3 linked regions of the Mus musculus genome follow. The protein of the gene in region 1 interacts with the protein of each later gene in a pairwise test. Links are inferred from orthologs where the notes say so. Each region holds a gene or a part of one and is shown in the gene's direction. Other genes may lie near its edges. The genes, in order: Egfr, Olfm1 and Psmd4.

Region 1 (6,306 bases):
AAATATATTCTTATAGTGTTCTTTATGAAAGAAACCCAGTAAAAACTGAGTTTAAAAATAGTTACAGCATACTTTCCAATATCATGTGTAGATTTCATTATTACCTTTTTTTTAACCACAAACCCTAGGCTGTATCAATTGAGACAGTCAGTATACTTAAAAATGTATACTTAGTACTCATAAGAGGAAGGTGTTTCTGACTATCCTGGAAAGGCTTACTAGACATTTTTCCTCTCTAATTGAGCATGTAAAACACCGAAAACTGTCACTGTCCCACTGACCTGCAGGCTGCCTGGCACTGGGTTCCTTTCATTTGGATGCCACATCCTTGACCAGACATGTTGTCCCTCCTATGACAGGTCTGCCAAAAGTTCCAAGATGAGGCCACATGCAAAGACACCTGCCCACCACTCATGCTGTACAACCCCACCACCTATCAGATGGATGTCAACCCTGAAGGGAAGTACAGCTTTGGTGCCACCTGTGTGAAGAAGTGCCCCCGTGAGTTTGCCCTTTCACCCAACAGTCCTCATTTCCTCTTCTGTCTTATGCTAGAGTCCTGGGCAGTTTGGAGGCAGCCACTGTGCTTGCCTTGTTGTCCTGTAGGCTAGTGTCTGCCTGGACAGGTGCAAGGATGAGAACCCCACTCAGTGCTGAGCAATGGAGGCAGAGGCAGCCTGCAGCAGTCAGGATGCCTTCCTTTAAAGGGTGGCTTGACCTGCACTGATCCAGTGTTGCTGGCAGCCAGACTGTATAGTACAAACCACCTATCGCTTCACCCCAAGTCAGAGAGGAAGCTTCAGTAACCTGGAGTGTCTTGGAGCTGACTAACACAAGGTCGTGACCCTCTGGGACAACCTTTGTTTGACTCTGCATTGTTTGACTCTGCATTAAACAGACCTAAATTAGAAAAGGCAGCAGACCCACCCCCTTGAGGAGAAGAATTTAGGGCTATGGCTGGGCTCTTGGAGTATTTTGGTTTTGGGTTTGCTTTGATTTACTCATTTGGGTTCAAGTTTTATTCATGTATGATGGTACTCTATGGTACCTATAGGAAAATGGCAACATAGATCGGTCCCAAACAGAGAAAGTGAAACAACTCATAAAGAGCCTTAAAACCAATCTTGACTTCTAGAAAGTAAATTAAGACAAAAAAAAATGTAAAGTGGAAACTATAAGGGTGAGATTTTGCCTACCTAGATTTAGGTGATTGAAGTCCCATTAGAAAACACACACAGAGAGGGGAGGGGAGGAAGAGGGAGAGGGAGAGAGAGGGGGAGGGAGAGGGGGAGGGAGAGGGGGAGGAAGAGGGAGAGCTAGAGAATAAGGTAAATGGAAAACTAAGATGAAGAAAAACTCATGACAGTCATGCCATAGATAGAATCTTTGTGTGAAGGCTTAGTAACAGATCTTTAAACTCTGCAGGAAACAAAACCTATGATGACAAGAGCATATGACTCACAGATATAGTACCAATGCCCACATTTTGAGCATGTATTTCAGAAACTCAAAATAGGAGCATAGAGTTTCTAGTAATACTGTAATCATAAATATTAATTAGGTTAGACTACATAAAGGTGAAGGGAGTGGAGAGAAAGATTGGGGCGCCTGTCTAGGAAGCAGAACAAACTGGTCCCCTCGTTGTCCCACCAAGAACTGCATGGTGGATGGGTGGGGAAGGGCAAAGCTGGTATCAAACAGAAGAAACTGTAGTTACCTCAATGGGACATGGTCTGTCTGATAAGCATTAGTGTGTGTGTACTACATATCTTAGGTTTCCTTGTATATTCTAAGCATAGACCTGTCAGAGGAAATTCATATTCAGCAAGGGGCTTTCAGCCAGTGAACACGCATGGTGGTGTTTCCTCTCATAGCTGTTTTGCACCTGAGATCAAGTATCTGTGTTTGTCCACATTACTGTCAGAAAAGCCATTAGACTAGAGCTTGGTTCCTCTTCTACTTGAAATCTGTCAGTCTTTCTCCTCAAAGAGAAGTCAACCAAACTAAGAGGGACCTTTTTAGCAGCCCATACACAGCAGGACATGAGGATGTTTGTGGAAGGTTAGGAGCACCTGCTGTAGCCTTCAACACCTTCTTTTCATTGCCTCTTCCTCAGGAAACTACGTGGTGACAGATCATGGCTCATGTGTCCGAGCCTGTGGGCCTGACTACTACGAAGTGGAAGAAGATGGCATCCGCAAGTGTAAAAAATGTGATGGGCCCTGTCGCAAAGGTAAGCAGTAGGGTTTTTTTCTTGATCTTTGTGCCGAACTCTTATGGCCACCTCCAAATAAACCCACCTTTTAATCTTTTTTTAAAAAAATATATTTATTTTGTCTGGAAAGTAGAAGGTAAACTTGCAAAGCCAAATTGCATGGTGGAGGTGGGGGAGTTCTCTTGAACCAGGTACAGAGGCGCCACCTGCAGCCCAGGTGGGTGAACTGTTGTAGCCAGAGAGAGGCGGAGCCAATGTCTTTGTGAGTGACTAGATTCAGTACAGCCAGAACATTCAAATCTGACAGAGGTCTGTGACAAGGACAGCCCAAGTGCCACTCCAGTGACTGAAGGGAACAGCGAAGCCTGTCACAGGAGTCCTGGCACCTGGAGGGTCCCCTCAGGGTTGTTGGGATGAATCAATAGTGCACGGTAGCAGGGTTCTTGCTTCCGCTTGTGCAGACCCAGCCTTCTTAATTCACATTCTTAATTCACATCTCTCTTAACAGTTTGTAATGGCATAGGCATTGGTGAATTTAAAGACACACTCTCCATAAATGCTACAAACATCAAACACTTCAAATACTGCACTGCCATCAGCGGGGACCTTCACATCCTGCCAGTGGCCTTTAAGGGGTGAGTAACAGCTGAGCCATCTGGATGAAGAACTGTAGAATCTGCTTTAAGCCACGGAGAGTGTCCAATAATCACGTTGCTGTCTGTTTCAGGGATTCTTTCACGCGCACTCCTCCTCTAGACCCACGAGAACTAGAAATTCTAAAAACCGTAAAGGAAATAACAGGTTTGTACTCGGGTGTGCAGGAGCATATATGGGAAATTAAATTTTATAGCGACTCCCAGACATTTCCCTTTCTTCCCTGACATGAGAATGTGGTGTCTGCAGCTTATCCATTATGAGTAATTCTTCGAGACATTTTTAAAAACCAGTTTCCCTTGATGCAAATTGAAAGCACTTTAAGCCACGGCTGCTGCAATCATGCTGGACTTGATGTGGACACATGGAGCGGTTCTTTCCTGCTTAGACTGTCCATCGTCCTTACAGACCCCAAAACCCCCAGAGAGAAGATGGAGGAAAAGATACAAGGTTGACGCTAACAGGCAGTGCAGGCTCTCGAGTTTCACAAACTAGATTTCAAAAGATTGTCCACCAGGGAGTCTTGGGTCTATGACTGCCACCAGCATGCCATTTTCGTCATCTATGAAGGGGAGATAATTTGATCTGAAAAACAGGATTAATATGAGGATCAGAGTTAAATGGAAAAAAATATTTAAAAGGAGACCATGGTAACAAGAGACTGGAGAAGAGTCAGAAAAGGATCCAGGTGTATAATCTGATATTCCTTATGGATGTCAGAGCCAGAGCACTTGTCACCTGCTCAGGTGGGAGTTGGCCTACGCATTGAGGGAAGGGCAGCCAGGGACTCTAGGTTGCATAGAAAGGACAGGATTCTTTCATATATATATATATATATATATATATATATATATATATATATATATATATGAAATATATATATATATATATGAAATATATATATGTGTGTGTGTGTGTGTGTGTGTGTATGTATGTATGTATGATATATATATCACCTGGACCTGTGTGAGGACATGCACTATCATCCTTGGTGATAGGAACAGGAAGAATCCACTGCCACGGTCCATACAGCAGCCTTATCTGAGTCCTAGAACACGCTTCCTACAACAAGGAAATTTCTAACAGTGTGAGTCTAAGCCTTTCTTCTTCCCTCTAGGCTTTTTGCTGATTCAGGCTTGGCCTGATAACTGGACTGACCTCCATGCTTTCGAGAACCTAGAAATAATACGTGGCAGAACAAAGCAACAGTAAGTTGGCCATAACAAAAGCCTAGTAGAATTTTTTCCCCAAGATTGTCAAAAGAAACAGAAATAGGACAAAGACCGATCTTCTACTCGGCTTCCCCTAATGTGAGCAACTTATGTGAGTAGATATGAAAGTTAAGATAAATAATTTGACAAGGTGCCATGTTCTTCCCTGGACCATGTACTTCATTCTGAGTTTACCAGATTTTCCACGAATGCATCCATTCTTTTCTGTCCTCTCCAGGATCCCACACTGCATTAATGTCTGATGTCTTCCTAGTTCCCTTCAAACTTTCCCAGCTCCTATATCTTTGCTGATTTTTGTTGTCTTGACACTCTGGGAAAATATGACTGGGTGTTTTATAGGGCATCTCCTTGTTTGTGTTTGGTTAATATTTGATAATGAGGCAGTTGAAGACACATAACTTGTCACACCAGGGAGACAGAGAAGATGGGAGACAGGTGAAGAGCTTTCCTAGAGTAAGAGAAATCCTAAGATTTGTGGTGAGGAAAAGAAATCTGGAAATCTGTAGCTCAAATCTGTCTTGGAAACTTTCTAATTATGATAGCTTTTTCTGACATTTACCACCACTAACATCACTAATCCCACTAATATTGTGGAATATTTAACAAGTCAAAGCACATACACACAGAATATACATTGCTGCCCATAAACTCCTTTAAATAGGCACTTCTGATACTAAGCATGCCACTGCTTTTGCTTCCTGCCTTTCCTCTTAAATTCTCAGGAATGCTCTCGTTCTGAGGTTAGCACCGTGTTTCAAGCGACTGCACAAGAGACTTAGCCTTAATTTTAAGCATTTAAGCTATGGGATAACCACTAGTTCCTGACATGACTCACAGAAAGCTGGGACTTGACCTGCAGGAAAGACCCCAGCCAGACCCTGACTCCTTGGCTTTTCTGGACATACGCTGGGGGAGAATTCCCAGTAAGTGATGGTTGTGGATCTCCTACCCAGACCCCTCACTTCCCTGAAAACAGGCTGTGGGGAAAGATAATTCATGAAGGGGGAAATGAGAATAAGCATGACTAGGAAGAGGGTCTGCCAAATACTACTTTAAACTTTGATATTTAACCCCATAGCTTCCATTCTCTTCTTTTGTCCTGGCTCAGCTGGCTCATTCCTGAGGCTAGTGTCAAGAAGATGCCTACAAATGCACACCGCTTCTATGTGCATTTCCATCAGTCACATGTGACAAATTGTGCCTAGCAGGGGCATACATTTGAGCTCTGACCTCAACCATGATCCTGAGTCTGTCTCCCTGCCCTCGCCAAGTGCACACATCCTGCAGAGTCCTGTGATTTGGGACTCCATTCTCTCTTATCTGACTAAGTTTCATCCAGACACATATCTGCAGAATCTTATTTAATCAAATATGAGGTATCATGACTTGAACATCACCCTTCCATGCTCTTCCTCCATGGCTCTCCTTCAGTGTTCACCCATGGCTGACCCAGTCCTCACTAACGCTGCATTTATTTCTATGGACTCAAAAAAAACCTCTGCCGGTGTGATTATATCACCTTTAGACAGAGTCCCTAAGTAAAAGAGACAAATATTTAACCTGTGTGGTATTTGCAAATGGAACCACAGATATTCACTCAATAAACATGACTGGGCAGCTGAGTGGTAGGCAGATGGACAGATATTCATATTTACCTTAAGTACATTTTGATGTTGCCAGATGCTAGAAAGCATGTTCTTGATTTCTAGGAAAACTATAAATATAGCAAATGAAATGACATGAATCCTCTGATTAACTCCTCCTGTTTATCCAAGTTTAAAGATAAAAAGCAAATGAGAAACTGTCTTTTCTTTGAAGAAATCTATAAAAAAACCCTTGCATTTTTTAAAACGTTGTGATTCATACTTTTCGCAGAATGATTAGTAATAACTGGAACACAGGATTCAGGAAACATAAGTGGCCCAGAAAAACTGAATTTGAGGATGGCCCATTGCTTTCGCTATCACACAACAGTGCAATTTTCTTCTCTCCCATTTAGTGGTCAGTTTTCTTTGGCGGTCGTTGGCCTGAACATCACATCACTGGGGCTGCGTTCCCTCAAGGAGATCAGTGATGGGGATGTGATCATTTCTGGAAACCGAAATTTGTGCTACGCAAACACAATAAACTGGAAAAAACTCTTCGGGACACCCAATCAGAAAACCAAAATCATGAACAACAGAGCTGAGAAAGACTGCAGTAAGT
Region 2 (6,406 bases), on another chromosome or scaffold:
CTGGCTCCCTACATAGGCTTAGAAGAAGTATGAGCTGGAGGTCAAATCTTTGTCATTCCACAGTGACCTGTTGAGGTGAGGGTGGGAGACAGTTCCTGGCCAGTGGTACGAAAGGCTACCTACTTGTTCCTGGGACTACTTGACCAGACCAAAGCTTCACTGTTTCAAACTCTGAATTCCATTTCCTTTCAAAAGCCCAGCTAAGTTAAACTCCTCCAATTCAGGGCAGCAATTGTGGATCCTGTGGAAATCACTCACCTAACACAGAGTCAGGAACTCTTTGAAACCACTATAGTTATATGGATATATGGCTATATCTATATGGTTATAAATCCCCACCTCTCTCCTTATGAGGAAATACTTGCATTGCTTGTGATATTTGACTGACAGCAGCTCCAGAGGTGTGTCAGAGGGCTCAGGGTCATCACACCTTATATCAAAGCCCAGCTCCGCAGCCTGCCTTGCACAGGTTGCTGGCTGAACCCATATTTATCATTTGAAAAGGTGACAATGACTGTCACCAGAGCAGGCCAGTCTTATTCCTACGCTCTTAACACATCACAGGAGAAAGCTACTATCGTCAAGCCCATTTTAAAAATGAGAGAGCTGAGTCTCAATAAAGCTCATTAGCTAGGTCACTGTCTCATACAAGTTCATAGCAGAGCTCCCCTTGACCCCAAGGTCACTTGACCTCTGGGAGGGACTTCTGCCCATTAGAGAGCAGGAAAGGTTTAATGGTGCTTGGCCATGGAGTGTGCCTAACAAAGACAGTTATGGTCTCTATGCTGCATCTGACACAGAGCTTAGAGCATGTTGCACTGTGTATCTTGCACTAAGTAGGAATTCAATAAAAGGTATGACTCCTGAGACGCCTTGAGAACTTTGAGGACTGTACTGGGCTGGATTTGAAATTGTTGATAAACATTAAGCGCTCCTTACCTTTGTGTAGTAGGAAGCAAGTGAGTAGACACAGCCACGGCCCTGATTCTGTTCAGAAAATGCCTGGCAGAGGATGTAGGGCAGAGAGCCTTGCATCTCCGGCTGCTGCATCCAGCAGGACCACTGGGTGTGACTGGACTGCAGTACCAGATTTCACGGAGAGATGGCGCCCTTCCCTAACAGTTGTAATTCGCTGGCATCTGACCCAAACTGGAGGCACCAATGAATGCCATGCATTAACCAGAGAAACAACTCCAATTGACTTCTTGAGCCAGCAGGGCTCACGCCCAGCACTCGGGCCAGGGTCATCTTGGCTGTTGACGTTTTCTCTGCAAATGAGGACTGAACACAGAGAGACAAGCCCCCGGAAGATGTCATATCCCTCTTGGCAGACCCCAGGAGGCCTGCCTTTGTTCTGACATCTCTTCCTGGTCTATAATTGACCAGGTGGGAAAGAGCGCAGGGGTAGGGGGCTGCGAATAGGCTGGCTTTCCCTGCCCGGGACTGGAACAACTTGGAGGAATGCCTGCAGAAACTGGCTTTCCTCAGCTTAGAGGGCTTGCTTCAAAGTCAAAAGCACTATGAAGTTGTGTTTGCCGGCTGTTCTGTTTTGCTGAGACTTACAAGTCTTGGCACAGATACTGCTGAAGCTTGCCTGGCCCTGATCTGGGTCCCTGCGAGGGACCCCTGTCCATCTAAGCCTACAGCATAGACGCCAGATACTCTAACCCCGCCCCTCCCCGCCCCCCGTGCATGTACCATACCCCACAATCATGGGTGTGGCCCCTCTAGTTCCTCCTGAGCCCTATGCTTCCAGCAGCTCCTGACGGTAGGTTGGCACACTCTCTCTCCTTCATCCTCTACTGTGCACAGCAGGCATACCGCCCCCCTCCAGTCCCTCTCTGTTTAAACCTGCTCCCACAAGCCCAGGGTGTTCCCCCGCTAGGACTTCCAACTGTCCCCTCCTTCTGAGGTAGTTGTCCAAGGTTCCCAGCAGTGTCTCTCACTTTGTAGCTACCTCTTTACTCCTGCGCTGACACTGGAGACTCCACCCAAGCTACTCTTTCCTGCTGGGGCTCAGGAGACACCCCAAACTGACTGGACTTAGTCCACCAGGGAAGGCAAGCCCAGCAGCAGGGGAGGAGACCCTTGACCACAAGCAGGCCGGGCCTGGGCGAGACAAAACCGTGAGGGTGACCGAGAGAGCTGGGCGAGGGGGTGTTCTGTGGATGGGTGCCATGCGAGATTCTTGAGGTTTTATATTTTTTTTTTACGATTTGTGGCGGCGTTTTATCCGTCCTCCTGGGTGACCCTAACTCTTCGGCCGACCGGTTTGCAGACCTCGCTGCCTGCAGCCAGGGGGCGTCGCGGAGCCGGAGCTCGGAGGAAAAATCCACCCATTTCCTGGGCAGATTGCGTCGGCCGCCGCCCGGCCTTGTCCCCGCCCCCCGGCCGCGGCCCCCGCGCACAGCCCGCGCCGCGCTCAGAACCCGGTGGCCCTTCTCGAGAGCGGAGCGCGCGGGGACGCTGCAGCGGCGGGCAGCGCGGGCAGGCAGCGCGCGCCGGGCAGGGCCGCCTGGTCACCTCCCGGCGCCGGGGCGGCGCGGCGATGGCCAGTGCGCACAGGGAGGCAGAGACCGGCGGGCGGCGGCGGGCAGAGGGGGCGCGGGGACGCGGCCGGGCGCCCCTGCCCGCCGTGGTGCCCGCCGCCTGAGGCTGCCCGGGGCGCGGGAGCCGGCGCCGGCGCGGCGCGGGCGCAGGAGGCCACTCGAGGCGCGATGTCGGTGCCGCTGCTGAAGATCGGGGTCGTGCTAAGCACCATGGCCATGATCACCAACTGGATGTCCCAGACGCTGCCCTCGCTGGTGGGCCTCAATACCACCCGGCTTTCGGCCGCCAGCGGCGGGACGCTGGACCGCAGCACCGGCGTAAGTGCGCCCGCCTTGAGCCCTCGCGGCCCCTCCTCCCTCCTGCCTCCTCTCGGGTCGAGCCCCGGGCTGGCCCGGCGGTGCGGCACAGGATGGGGTCACCCTGGGAGGGAGGGTTACAAGGGCCGGGGTCACGAGCCCACCCTCTGCCCTGCAGCCAAGCAGTGCCTTCAGCTGCGGCCGCCACTCGCACTCTGGCGTTTCGGGGCGATGCTTTTTGCTCCCAGTCCCCCGGAGGGGCTTGAGGACACCTGCTTTGGTGATGGTGGGAGGGGTTCAAAGTCCAGAGTCCTCGTTCACTAATATTAGAAAATCTTTCTTTGCAAAGCTTAGGAAACTGAAGCTAGGGACTTGGGGACTTAGCCAAGGTCACTCAGCAAGTAAGGGGTGGAGGTGCTGCTTAAAACCCTTTGTGGGCTAGGTCCAGCCAGGACTCAGCTCGCCCTACTTTGTAAAAGACGGACTGGACCAGTGCAGAGTGGGGCCCAAGGCAAAAGACCAGAGCTTGTGATCTCACCTGAGCCCCCCAAATCCCAAGGGACCCTTCCGGTCTCATCTCGGTTGGAAGATCTCAGCGTGCACTCTGGAGGAGGTTGAGAGGAGCTGGGCGGGACCCAGCTGCCGATCTGTCTTCACCCACCCCTCTCTACTGGCCTCTGACACGGAAATCGAATCTCCATGTCATCGGCAGCCTGCGGATGGGGAGCTATGGCTGGGGGTTGGGTGGAGGGTCTGGATAAGGCTGACTTCCATGATAGATGGAGCAGGCTGAGCAGAGACCACCCTTAAGTCAGGGGCCACTGGAAAGGGACCCTGGCATAACCTTCTCAGTGGAAAGGACAGGTGAGGGACCATTCTCCTCCAGTTTGATCCCAAGAGCTGGGTGGTGTGACCCACCACCACCACCACCACCATCTATCACTCTTGTAGGGTCTGCCTCTCCTGTTGTTTTAAAAAGAGTTTTCCTAGTGCCCTGGTACTGGGAGTGGTGTCCCACTCCTTAAATCCCAGAGGCAGGTGGGTCTCTGTGAGTTTGAGGCCAGCCTGGTCTACAGAGTGAGTTCCCTGACATTCAGAGCTGCGTAATGAGACTCTGTCTCAAAAAAAAAAAAAAAAAAAAAAAAGCCAAACAAAAATATCACCATGAGTTTCCCTGATAAGGATTTTGGATGCTTGTGTCCTAAGCTGGATGAATGAAATGAAGTATAGCACTACCTGCTTCTCTGCCTTCTTCCCATCCTTATCTAAAAATAGCAGGGAAGTGCAGGATGCCAGGGAAGGGCTTGGAGACTGGGTAGGCTGCAGTGGCTGGAGGGCAGGGGTCATGGTGGTGTGTATGCAGGAGCCTTGGTGGCTTCTGCCCCTGCTGTGTATCTGAAGGTCAGGGTCATGGGTGGTATAGAAGGCCTGCAAGGTGAATCCAGCCACTCAGTTCTGGGTCCTTGGTGGTCTTTGGGCAAACCCTCAGGATTGAGGTTAAGGGTGACCCTTACACAATATATTTGTTGACATCCACCAAATGGCTAGTGCGTGGGGGAGCTTCATGGAGTTGGAAATCAACATCTGAGCCAGGCTGCTTTTGTTCGGGAGACAACACAGCTCTAGGGTTGCTGCTCTCAGTTCTTAGGTGCCGACTCAGGACTCATAACAATTGTGCTTGTCTCCAAGTGTTAGGGAACAGGAGCTCAAGGCTCGTCAGCATCTTGCTGGAAGAAGAGGGTATCTGATTCCCTAAGCCATTAGCTACTGGTTTCTTATATGGCCCCCTCACCCAACCTAGTGCATCGGCGGCCCCTCCCACCTCCCCCGGCATTAATTTGGTTAGAGGTCAAAACTCTGAGCACCCAGGGTTGAACATGCATTTTAAGGCACTGTTCCTCTCCAATTCTTTGAGACCTCAGCACCTGGGTACAGGTCTCCCTCATCCTCACATTCTCTCTTTCTCTCCTCGTGCCCTTCCCTGCCTGCCCTTCTCCAGGTGTTGCCCACCAACCCCGAGGAGAGCTGGCAGGTGTACAGCTCTGCCCAGGACAGTGAGGGCAGGTGTATCTGCACAGTGGTCGCCCCCCAGCAGACCATGTGTTCGCGGGATGCCCGCACAAAACAGCTGAGGCAGCTACTGGAGAAGGTGAGTCCGTGCAAGGGGTTGATGTGTGAGTTTGCACATGCAGAGTGCAGTGTGGCGGCCTGAGGCTTGGCTGGGCCTTCACTGGCATGGCCCACGCTCTAAACATTTGTGACTGAATGAATGGGCAGATGACCGAGTGGCTAGGAGAATGGAGAGAGGACAAGGGTGGCCCTGGTTGGGAGATGAGTACACCTGCTTCCTGGGCTCTGAGGGCTCTAGGAAGGAGCTTGTTGGGAAAGCCAGAAGCATGGCTCTCCTTCGTCACATGCCATCTCTCCTCTGAGCAATGCTCAGGGTCTGGTCCAAAGGCTCCACAATGCTGCCAGGGAAACGGTGGGTTCCTGATATATGGCACACAGGCTGTCCGTGGGGATGTCTCCGTCCCACCTGCCAAGTCCCCCCTGCCCGCATGGATGCTCCTAGTGGTTGCTTCCTAACAAGAGGGCAGCGATGTTTCTATGCACACATTCTGAGTCTTGTCTCACTTCATTGTCACAAGACCTGAGCACAGCTGGTGGCACTGGTCACTCCTCAGTTTGATGTCCCCAGGCTACACAGCTGGTTGGAAAGGGAGATGGTTCTAATCACTGAACCAGTATCTTCCTATTGGGATTCTGTTTCTTGCCAAGAGTACCTATAGGCTGCCCCCAGGGACCCCAGATTCTGCAGCTGACTTCACTATTACAGGTCCCTGGAGTGCTACCATGGGGAAAAGGGAAAATGAGGGGCTGTTCCGCCCTGCCCAACTCCCTCTCCCAAGAAAAGATGCCTCCAGGCATGAACCCTTCCTACTCAGAGACAGTGGATCACGTATCACGCATACACACACACACCCCAGAAAGCTGGGCTTTCCCTACTGATTGGCTTTGGACTTTTCAAGCCCTCACCTGTGTGAGATCTGCAGGGGCGAGGCATCCTCTGTAAACTTGAAGAGAAGCCCTGGGAACAGAAATCATCTTTGCAAAGGCAGAATGGCTTTGGAGCCCAGCCTGATCCCTGCCAGGCCTCAGCCTTCCCAGCTGTAGCTGGGCTACAGCTGGGCTCCAATACCTTGGGCAGACTCAGCTGCTAAGGCAGGAAGCGCCTGGGCATTGAGATGACTCTCAGGTTGTTGCCAGTCCCTGTGTGGGAGCGACCTGGGACCTTATTTCCATCATGGTACCTGTGAGTCTGCCCCCCCCCCAAAGGGGTGGAGCGTGTGTTGGTGTCTTGGCCTGTTTTGCCACCTTTAGCCACCAGAGTAAATAGCTTGAAAAGAGTTCAAGTAAAATATATTTAACAGATCCTGCGGACATTTATTTACACCAAACTAGACAGGAGCCTAATTGAGCCTTTAATTATTCAGAACTGTAGCAAAGGGGCGGGGCTGGAGGTACTGAGGCCCAAGCCAAGGGACCCTGGGAGAAGGGCT
Region 3 (6,306 bases), on another chromosome or scaffold:
ATATTGTTGGAGAATTGTAGTAACTTCTCTGTGTCTCATAGTACAAGCAGGTAAGCCATATGTGATGGTGCTCTGTAAAGTATAGAGCTCTGTAGCGGCATGGTGTTTGGGGAATCCTCAGAATTTAAGAGCTGTAAAAAGACATGTTGAGGAGAGGTCATTACAAAGTTGCTGAAGTAAGAGTCCCGTGTTTGGGAAATAGACCAGAGTGAACCTTAACATAGATTGTTGTAAGGTGGGAGGAGTCACTGTAGAAAGAAATGACTGAAGAGCTTGAACTCTGTTCTATACCCCAGTGAGAAGATTCTGAGGGTGATGGAGTCAGACCTTTGTACAGACTGACACTGATTTAAGAATATTGATCTGGCCAGATGTGGTACACACCTGTTGAGAACACTGGATGGTTGAGACAGAAGGATCATGAGTTCAAGGCCAACTTGGAATGCATATTGAGGTCCTGTTTAAAAAAAACAAAAAACAAAAAAAAGCCAGGCATGGTGGCACACACCTTTAATCCCAGCACTCGGGAGGCAGAGGCAGGTGGATTTCTGAGTTGAGGCCAGCCTGGTCTACAGAGTGAGTTCCAGGACAGCCAGGGCTATACAGAGAAACCCTGCCTCGAAAAAACCAAAAACAACAACAACAAAAAAGCAAAAAACAAAAAAATTAGATTTATACATAAAAGGAAAGAATAGAACCTGAGACCTTAGCCGTCAGTGTAATTGCCACAGAATGAGACCCTCTTGTTTTCTATGAGGTGTCTTGGATTTCCAGGCAACAGAGTTTTCTGTAGGGGTCTATTCTAAAATGCAAGTGTTTTGACTTTAGCTTTAATCTGCTGAGCCAGATTCTCTTGTTAGTTTTTAATGCATGGCATTACATTTGGCCAGTAGGTAGGGAGTTCTAGAACTCGAACTCCGTTGTATTGATTGTTATAAAGAGATGTTAGCTAGCGTCTGATGTGCTGGTCCACACCTGTAATCACAGCACTGAAGAGGTCCACTCAGGAAGATCAGCTCAGTGTCGTCTTCAGTTACAGAAAGCAGTCTCTTTTCTTTTTTGGTTTTTTGGTCTTTCTTTCTTTCTTTCTTTCTTTCTTTCTTTCTTTCTTTCTTTCTTTCTTTCGACAGGGTTTCTCCTGCCTCTGCCTCCCAAGTGCTGGGATTAAAGGCGTGCACCACCACACCCGGCTTAGAAAGCTGTTTCTAAGGGAGACTGAGTTTGAGGGAGAGGTTGGGAGGGGACAGAGTGACAGGATCTCAGTTTGTTGCCCCCAGATTCTGGATTCAAGAAATCCTCTTTTGACTTCCCAAGTAGCTGAGCCACAGGTATGCTCTGTTGCCTGTCCTGTGTTGATGGATTAATTGATTTTGCAATATTGAGGATCAAGCGCAGGGCCTTGTTCATGCTAGAAGCACCCCAGCACAGGACTTCATCCCAGCAGTATTCAGTGTTAAAATTATGATGTCATGGAAAGCTTGGGTAATACCTTAAGCTCAAAAGTTTATGATTTGGGGAATGAAAGAGCGAATCCCATGGTGCTGAGGGAAAGCAGTTCTAAGAAATGCAGGTAACATTACCCCATTCATACCAAGCTGGAAACAGGGAAAGCTGGCCAGTGTGGTGTTTTGTTTGAAACAGGATCTTGCTATGTAGCCCTGCCAGGAATTTCCTGTAATCCTCCTGCCTCTGGAATAGGAGGATTAACATTGACAATGTGGCTTTTTAAGGAACACATGCACCTGTGGTTTTTCTACCAGTAACCACTCTCCTTCCCAATGATGGCGAGGGCAACACAGCCTCAGTGCTCATTGTCAGTTCCCTTTCCCTCCTACCCCCCACCCCCTTCACCTTTCCTATTCTGACTGCTTTCCCCATCTTTATTTATTCGTTGTCCTTGTGTACAGTCCTTGCACTTAGTAGCTGTTCCATCCAAACTGTGCTTGAAGCCTCTGGTTTTATATATGGACCCGCAGCTTTATTTGAAGTTTGAGAGGCTGCCACACCTCTCCTGGAAGAGAAGTTGGATCTGTTTCAGGAAAGCGGAGCTTAGAGACATGGCCAGTGGATCAGCTGCATCTTCACATAGTTTGTTTACAGATGTGTGTTTGGGTCACCACTAAACTACTCTCCTGGAATGCTTCCTGTTTTGTTGTATGATCAAATCCAGGATATCATACATGTAATCTGTGTTCACCTTTGCTAAGTATTAGGTACTATGCTCAGTGCTTTATATGCATGTAATTCTCAAAGCAACTCCGTGTAGAGAATACAAGAAAAACTACACAGAATTTGGCAAGATAGCTCAGCTGCTAAAAGTGCTTGCCTTGTAAGTCTGATGACCTGTTCAGTTTCTGGAACCCTGGGAGGAGAGACCCAGTTCCCAAAAGCTGTCCTCTGACTTCTATATGCAAGTGGCAGCAGCATGTGCCCATATTTGTTCTGAGTTCCCAAGTGTAATAGAATAAAAAAGTGACCTTAGAGAAACATGCAATTTTCTTAGAATTAAAAAATTAACCAGGGGCTGGAAAGTGATGTTCAATGGCTGCTCTTACAGAGGGCACGGCTCTAATTCCCAGCATCTACGAGTTGTTTCAAATTGTCTGTAACTTCAGTCCCAGCGAATCCAACACCGGCTTCTGCCTTCCATAGGCAGTAGGTGAGCACATGGCACCATACATACAAGCAGACAGAACAGCCATACACACAAATGGATAGATTTAAAAGTAGGTGCAGACTCAGGAGGCAGAGGCAGGCGGATCTCGTGAGTTTGAGGCCAACCTGGTCTACAGAGTGAGTTCCAGGACAGCCAGGGCTACACAGAGAAAAACCCTGTCTCGGAAAAAAAAAAAAAAGTAGGTGCAGAATGAGAACCTGAGCTTGGACCTCTGATTGACACCCCACTCCTGATAATCCTGTTTCTGCTTTTTGAGTACATTACCCTTCCTTACCATTTTTTGATTCTATTTATTACTAGATAAAACTTTATAAGGTGGAAAGAAGTTACCTCTGAGCTAGATTTTCTTTGGAGTAGAATAAAGTATCTTGTTCTGGGCACTGCTCTCTTTCCTTAGCACAAGTAGTGCCACTGGCTGCAAGAACTCTCCTAGACCTCATGGGTCACCAAGAGTTGGTCTTGAACCAGGAATGTGGCTCAATGGTAGATGGTAGGTTGTGTGACCAAAAAAGGTGGGAAACCGAGAAGCTGGAGTTTATGTTTCATATTATGTAGAGTTTGGTTGGGGTTGGTTTTGTTGTTGTTGTTGTTTTCTTTGAGATAGGGTCTCACATAGCCCAGGCTGGCCTCAAACTTACAATGTATTTGAGGCTGTCCATGAATTCCAGATCCTCCTAGCTATATACACGGAGTTCCAGTATTACAGCTGTATGCTACCTCACCTGTTTAAGATGGAAAGAATTCCTGGCTGGAGAGATGGCTCAGCAGTTAGGAACACTGACTGCTTTTTCAGAGGTTCTGAGTTCAATTCCCAGCAACCACATGGTTCGCTCACAACCATCTGTAATGGGATCTGATGCCCTCTTCTGGTGTGTCTGAAGAGAGCAATAGTGTACTCACATATATAAAATAAATCTTTTTTTGTTTTGTTTTTTGGTTTTTTTTTTTTTTTTTTCGAGACAGTTTCTCTGTTTAGCCCTGGCTGTCCTGGAATTCATTCTGTAGACCAGGCTGGCCTTGGAACTCAGAAATCCATCTGTCTCTGCCTCCCAAGTGCTGGGATTAAAGGCATGTGCCACCACTGTGTTCCAAGAAGCCTGAGAGCCACCGCTGTACCACGTGTGTCTGGCAGGAGGTGTAGAAGGGGTCCTCCATTATAGAGGATGTTTCAGGGCATCCTCCAGTGTCCTTTTCTCCTTATCTGACAGTGTGGACAACAGTGAGTACATGCGGAACGGAGACTTCCTTCCCACCCGGCTGCAGGCCCAGCAGGATGCCGTCAACATTGTATGTCACTCAAAGACCCGAAGCAACCCTGAGAATAACGTGGGCCTGATCACACTGGCCAAGTACGTGGGACACAGTGGGGCTGTGAAGGTGGGTGGTGCTCCCATGTTGGGTTGCAGGTGACTGCCCTTTGGTTGATAGCACAGGCTATGCTCATCCAGTCCTGTGTTCCACCTCCTTCAGGAGTAGGACAGCTTGCTGCGCTGGGGGAGGGTGTCTTGATTTTGACTTGTTTTCCACACCGGGTTTTCATGTAGTCCTGGCTAACTTCAAACTTGATATGTACCTTTTTTTTTGCCTTGTTTTTTAAGACTTACTTTGTATTTTATGTATATAAATGTTTTGCCTACATGTATTATGTTTATGCACCATGGTCATGCATAATGCCCACAAAGGTCAGAAAAGGGGTTCACATCCCCTGGGACTGGAGTTAGAGCTGATTGTGAGTGCTGGGTGAGTGCTCTTAACCACTGAACCATGTCTTCAGAAAAAAAGATAAAAGTTGCTTTTAAGGTCTCTAAACAAAAGATGGCACACACCTTTAGTCTCAGCACTCGGGAGGCAGAGACAATTGGATTTCTGAGTTTGAGGCCAGCCTGGTCTACATAGTGAATTTCAGGACAGCCAGGGCTACACAGAGAAACCCTGTCTCTGAGGGAAAAAAGAAAGGAGAAGATGAATGGGCATGGTTAGGAGGCACTTGTGTGGTCTGAACTCACTAAAATTCTTTGCTCACATTTAGTGACTGTGAGGTGCTGACCACACTCACCCCGGACACTGGCCGTATCCTCTCCAAGCTCCACACTGTCCAACCCAAAGGCAAGATCACCTTCTGCACTGGCATCCGCGTGGCCCACGTGAGTCCTGTTGGCTCCCTGCTATGAGGGTCTGTGATCCTTTCTGTCCAGAGCTGTGATCTAGTGCTGAATAGAGCAAGACGAGAGGACCTGGACCAGTGCTTCTCAGCCTTCAATACAGTTCCTCGTGCTGTGATGACCCCAGCCGTAAAATTGTTTTGGTGCTACTCATAACTACGATTTTGCCTATTGTTATGAATGATAAGGTTAATTTCTAATATGCTACCCTGTGAAACGGTCATCCAACCCCTCCAAGGTGGGAGCCACTGATCTAGAGGGTGCTTACTCAGTATAGAAAGGATGGGGCAGGATGAGACTTGGTCTTACACTCTGGTCCACTTGAGGCACAACAGAAAGAGGAGGCATGTACCGAGTGAGCATTATGGTAGACTTGAGGTTCATAGGTACTGTAAGGAGCAGGAAATGCAGACTGACTCAGGGACATGTGCTGCTGGGATTCACGGGAACTTCTTTTCCCTTCCAAGTTGGCTCTGAAGCACCGGCAGGGCAAGAATCACAAGATGCGCATCATCGCCTTTGTCGGTAGCCCTGTGGAGGACAACGAGAAGGATGTGAGTCCACAGACAGCCTGCCAGGCAGGCCTCCATTTGGAAGTGGCTTGCAGTACTTAGAACTGGGCAGAGGTGTTAGGCATGTCATCTGGGGAAAGGTGGATGTGTGATGTCAGTGTTGGGGCCAGACCTTTGGTAGGATGCTGAATTTCTGTATGCGTCTGTGAGGCAAATTCAGTCCTCACTACAGAGAATCAATTTCTTGATTTTTCTCCCTTTCTTCATAGCTGGTGAAACTAGCTAAACGCCTTAAGAAAGAAAAAGTGAATGTTGACATCATTAATTTTGGGGAAGAGGTAAGTCAGGGTTGCAGAGCATAGGATCCGATCCCACGTTATGAACACGGCCATCCTTTCATAGAGTTGAGCTCCCTCGGGGACTCTGGAGATGGCTGCAGCCGTAGACTGAGAAGCAGTAAGTGAAGGAGGTGTCTGTCTTGTGCTCTCTGCTCTACAGGAGGTGAACACAGAGAAGCTGACAGCCTTTGTGAACACACTGAATGGCAAGGATGGAACTGGGTCCCATCTAGTGACAGTGCCTCCTGGACCTAGCTTGGCTGATGCTCTCATCAGTTCTCCTATTCTGGCTGGTGAAGGCGGTGCCATGCTGGGTCTTGGTGCCAGTGACTTTGAGTTTGGAGTAGATCCCAGTGCTGATCCTGAATTGGCCCTGGTAAGCAAATGTTGACCCTGGGGTTCTGTTCTCTGTACAGATCCCCAGCTGATGGGACGAGACAGTCCTGAACACTTCCGTACCACCGTTCTCTAAGACCCTTTTCACTTCCTTGAAGGGCACCAATGCAAGACTCTAGTGTCTTCATTTTTCCCAATTAAACACAGACTCTGCCTTGCTTCTTCCATTTTCTACTAGGGCTTGTCAGTGTTACAGCTTCTTTCCCATGCGGCAAGCCAGA

The links.
Region 2: the proteins of Egfr (region 1) and Olfm1 interact in a protein complementation assay, tested with the Homo sapiens proteins (2 studies listed by BioGRID and IntAct). The link is inferred for Mus musculus from reciprocal best matches to the Homo sapiens genes EGFR and OLFM1.
Region 3: the proteins of Egfr (region 1) and Psmd4 interact in a protein complementation assay, tested with the Homo sapiens proteins (2 studies listed by BioGRID and IntAct). The link is inferred for Mus musculus from reciprocal best matches to the Homo sapiens genes EGFR and PSMD4.

What each region holds. Positions count from the first base shown.
Region 1 is NC_000077.6:16,868,860-16,875,165, forward strand, and holds part of Egfr (epidermal growth factor receptor isoform 1 precursor), read left to right. Parts: intron 1-359; coding exon 360-501; intron 502-2,116; coding exon 2,117-2,233; intron 2,234-2,723; coding exon 2,724-2,850; intron 2,851-2,942; coding exon 2,943-3,016; intron 3,017-3,986; coding exon 3,987-4,077; intron 4,078-6,100; coding exon 6,101-6,300; intron 6,301-6,306. UniProt on the Homo sapiens protein: Receptor tyrosine kinase binding ligands of the EGF family and activating several signaling cascades to convert extracellular cues into appropriate cellular responses.
Region 2 is NC_000068.7:28,203,233-28,209,638, forward strand, and holds the start of Olfm1 (noelin isoform a precursor), read left to right. Parts: upstream 1-2,456; 5' UTR 2,457-2,717; coding exon 2,718-2,867; intron 2,868-4,845; coding exon 4,846-4,995; intron 4,996-6,406. UniProt on the Homo sapiens protein: Contributes to the regulation of axonal growth in the embryonic and adult central nervous system by inhibiting interactions between RTN4R and LINGO1. Inhibits RTN4R-mediated axon growth cone collapse.
Region 3 is NC_000069.6:95,034,325-95,040,630, reverse strand, and holds part of Psmd4 (26S proteasome non-ATPase regulatory subunit 4), read left to right. Parts: intron 1-3,885; coding exon 3,886-4,026; exon of another isoform or gene 4,027-4,054; intron 4,055-4,706; coding exon 4,707-4,821; intron 4,822-5,306; coding exon 5,307-5,393; intron 5,394-5,620; coding exon 5,621-5,689; intron 5,690-5,849; coding exon 5,850-6,065; intron 6,066-6,306. UniProt on the Homo sapiens protein: Component of the 26S proteasome, a multiprotein complex involved in the ATP-dependent degradation of ubiquitinated proteins.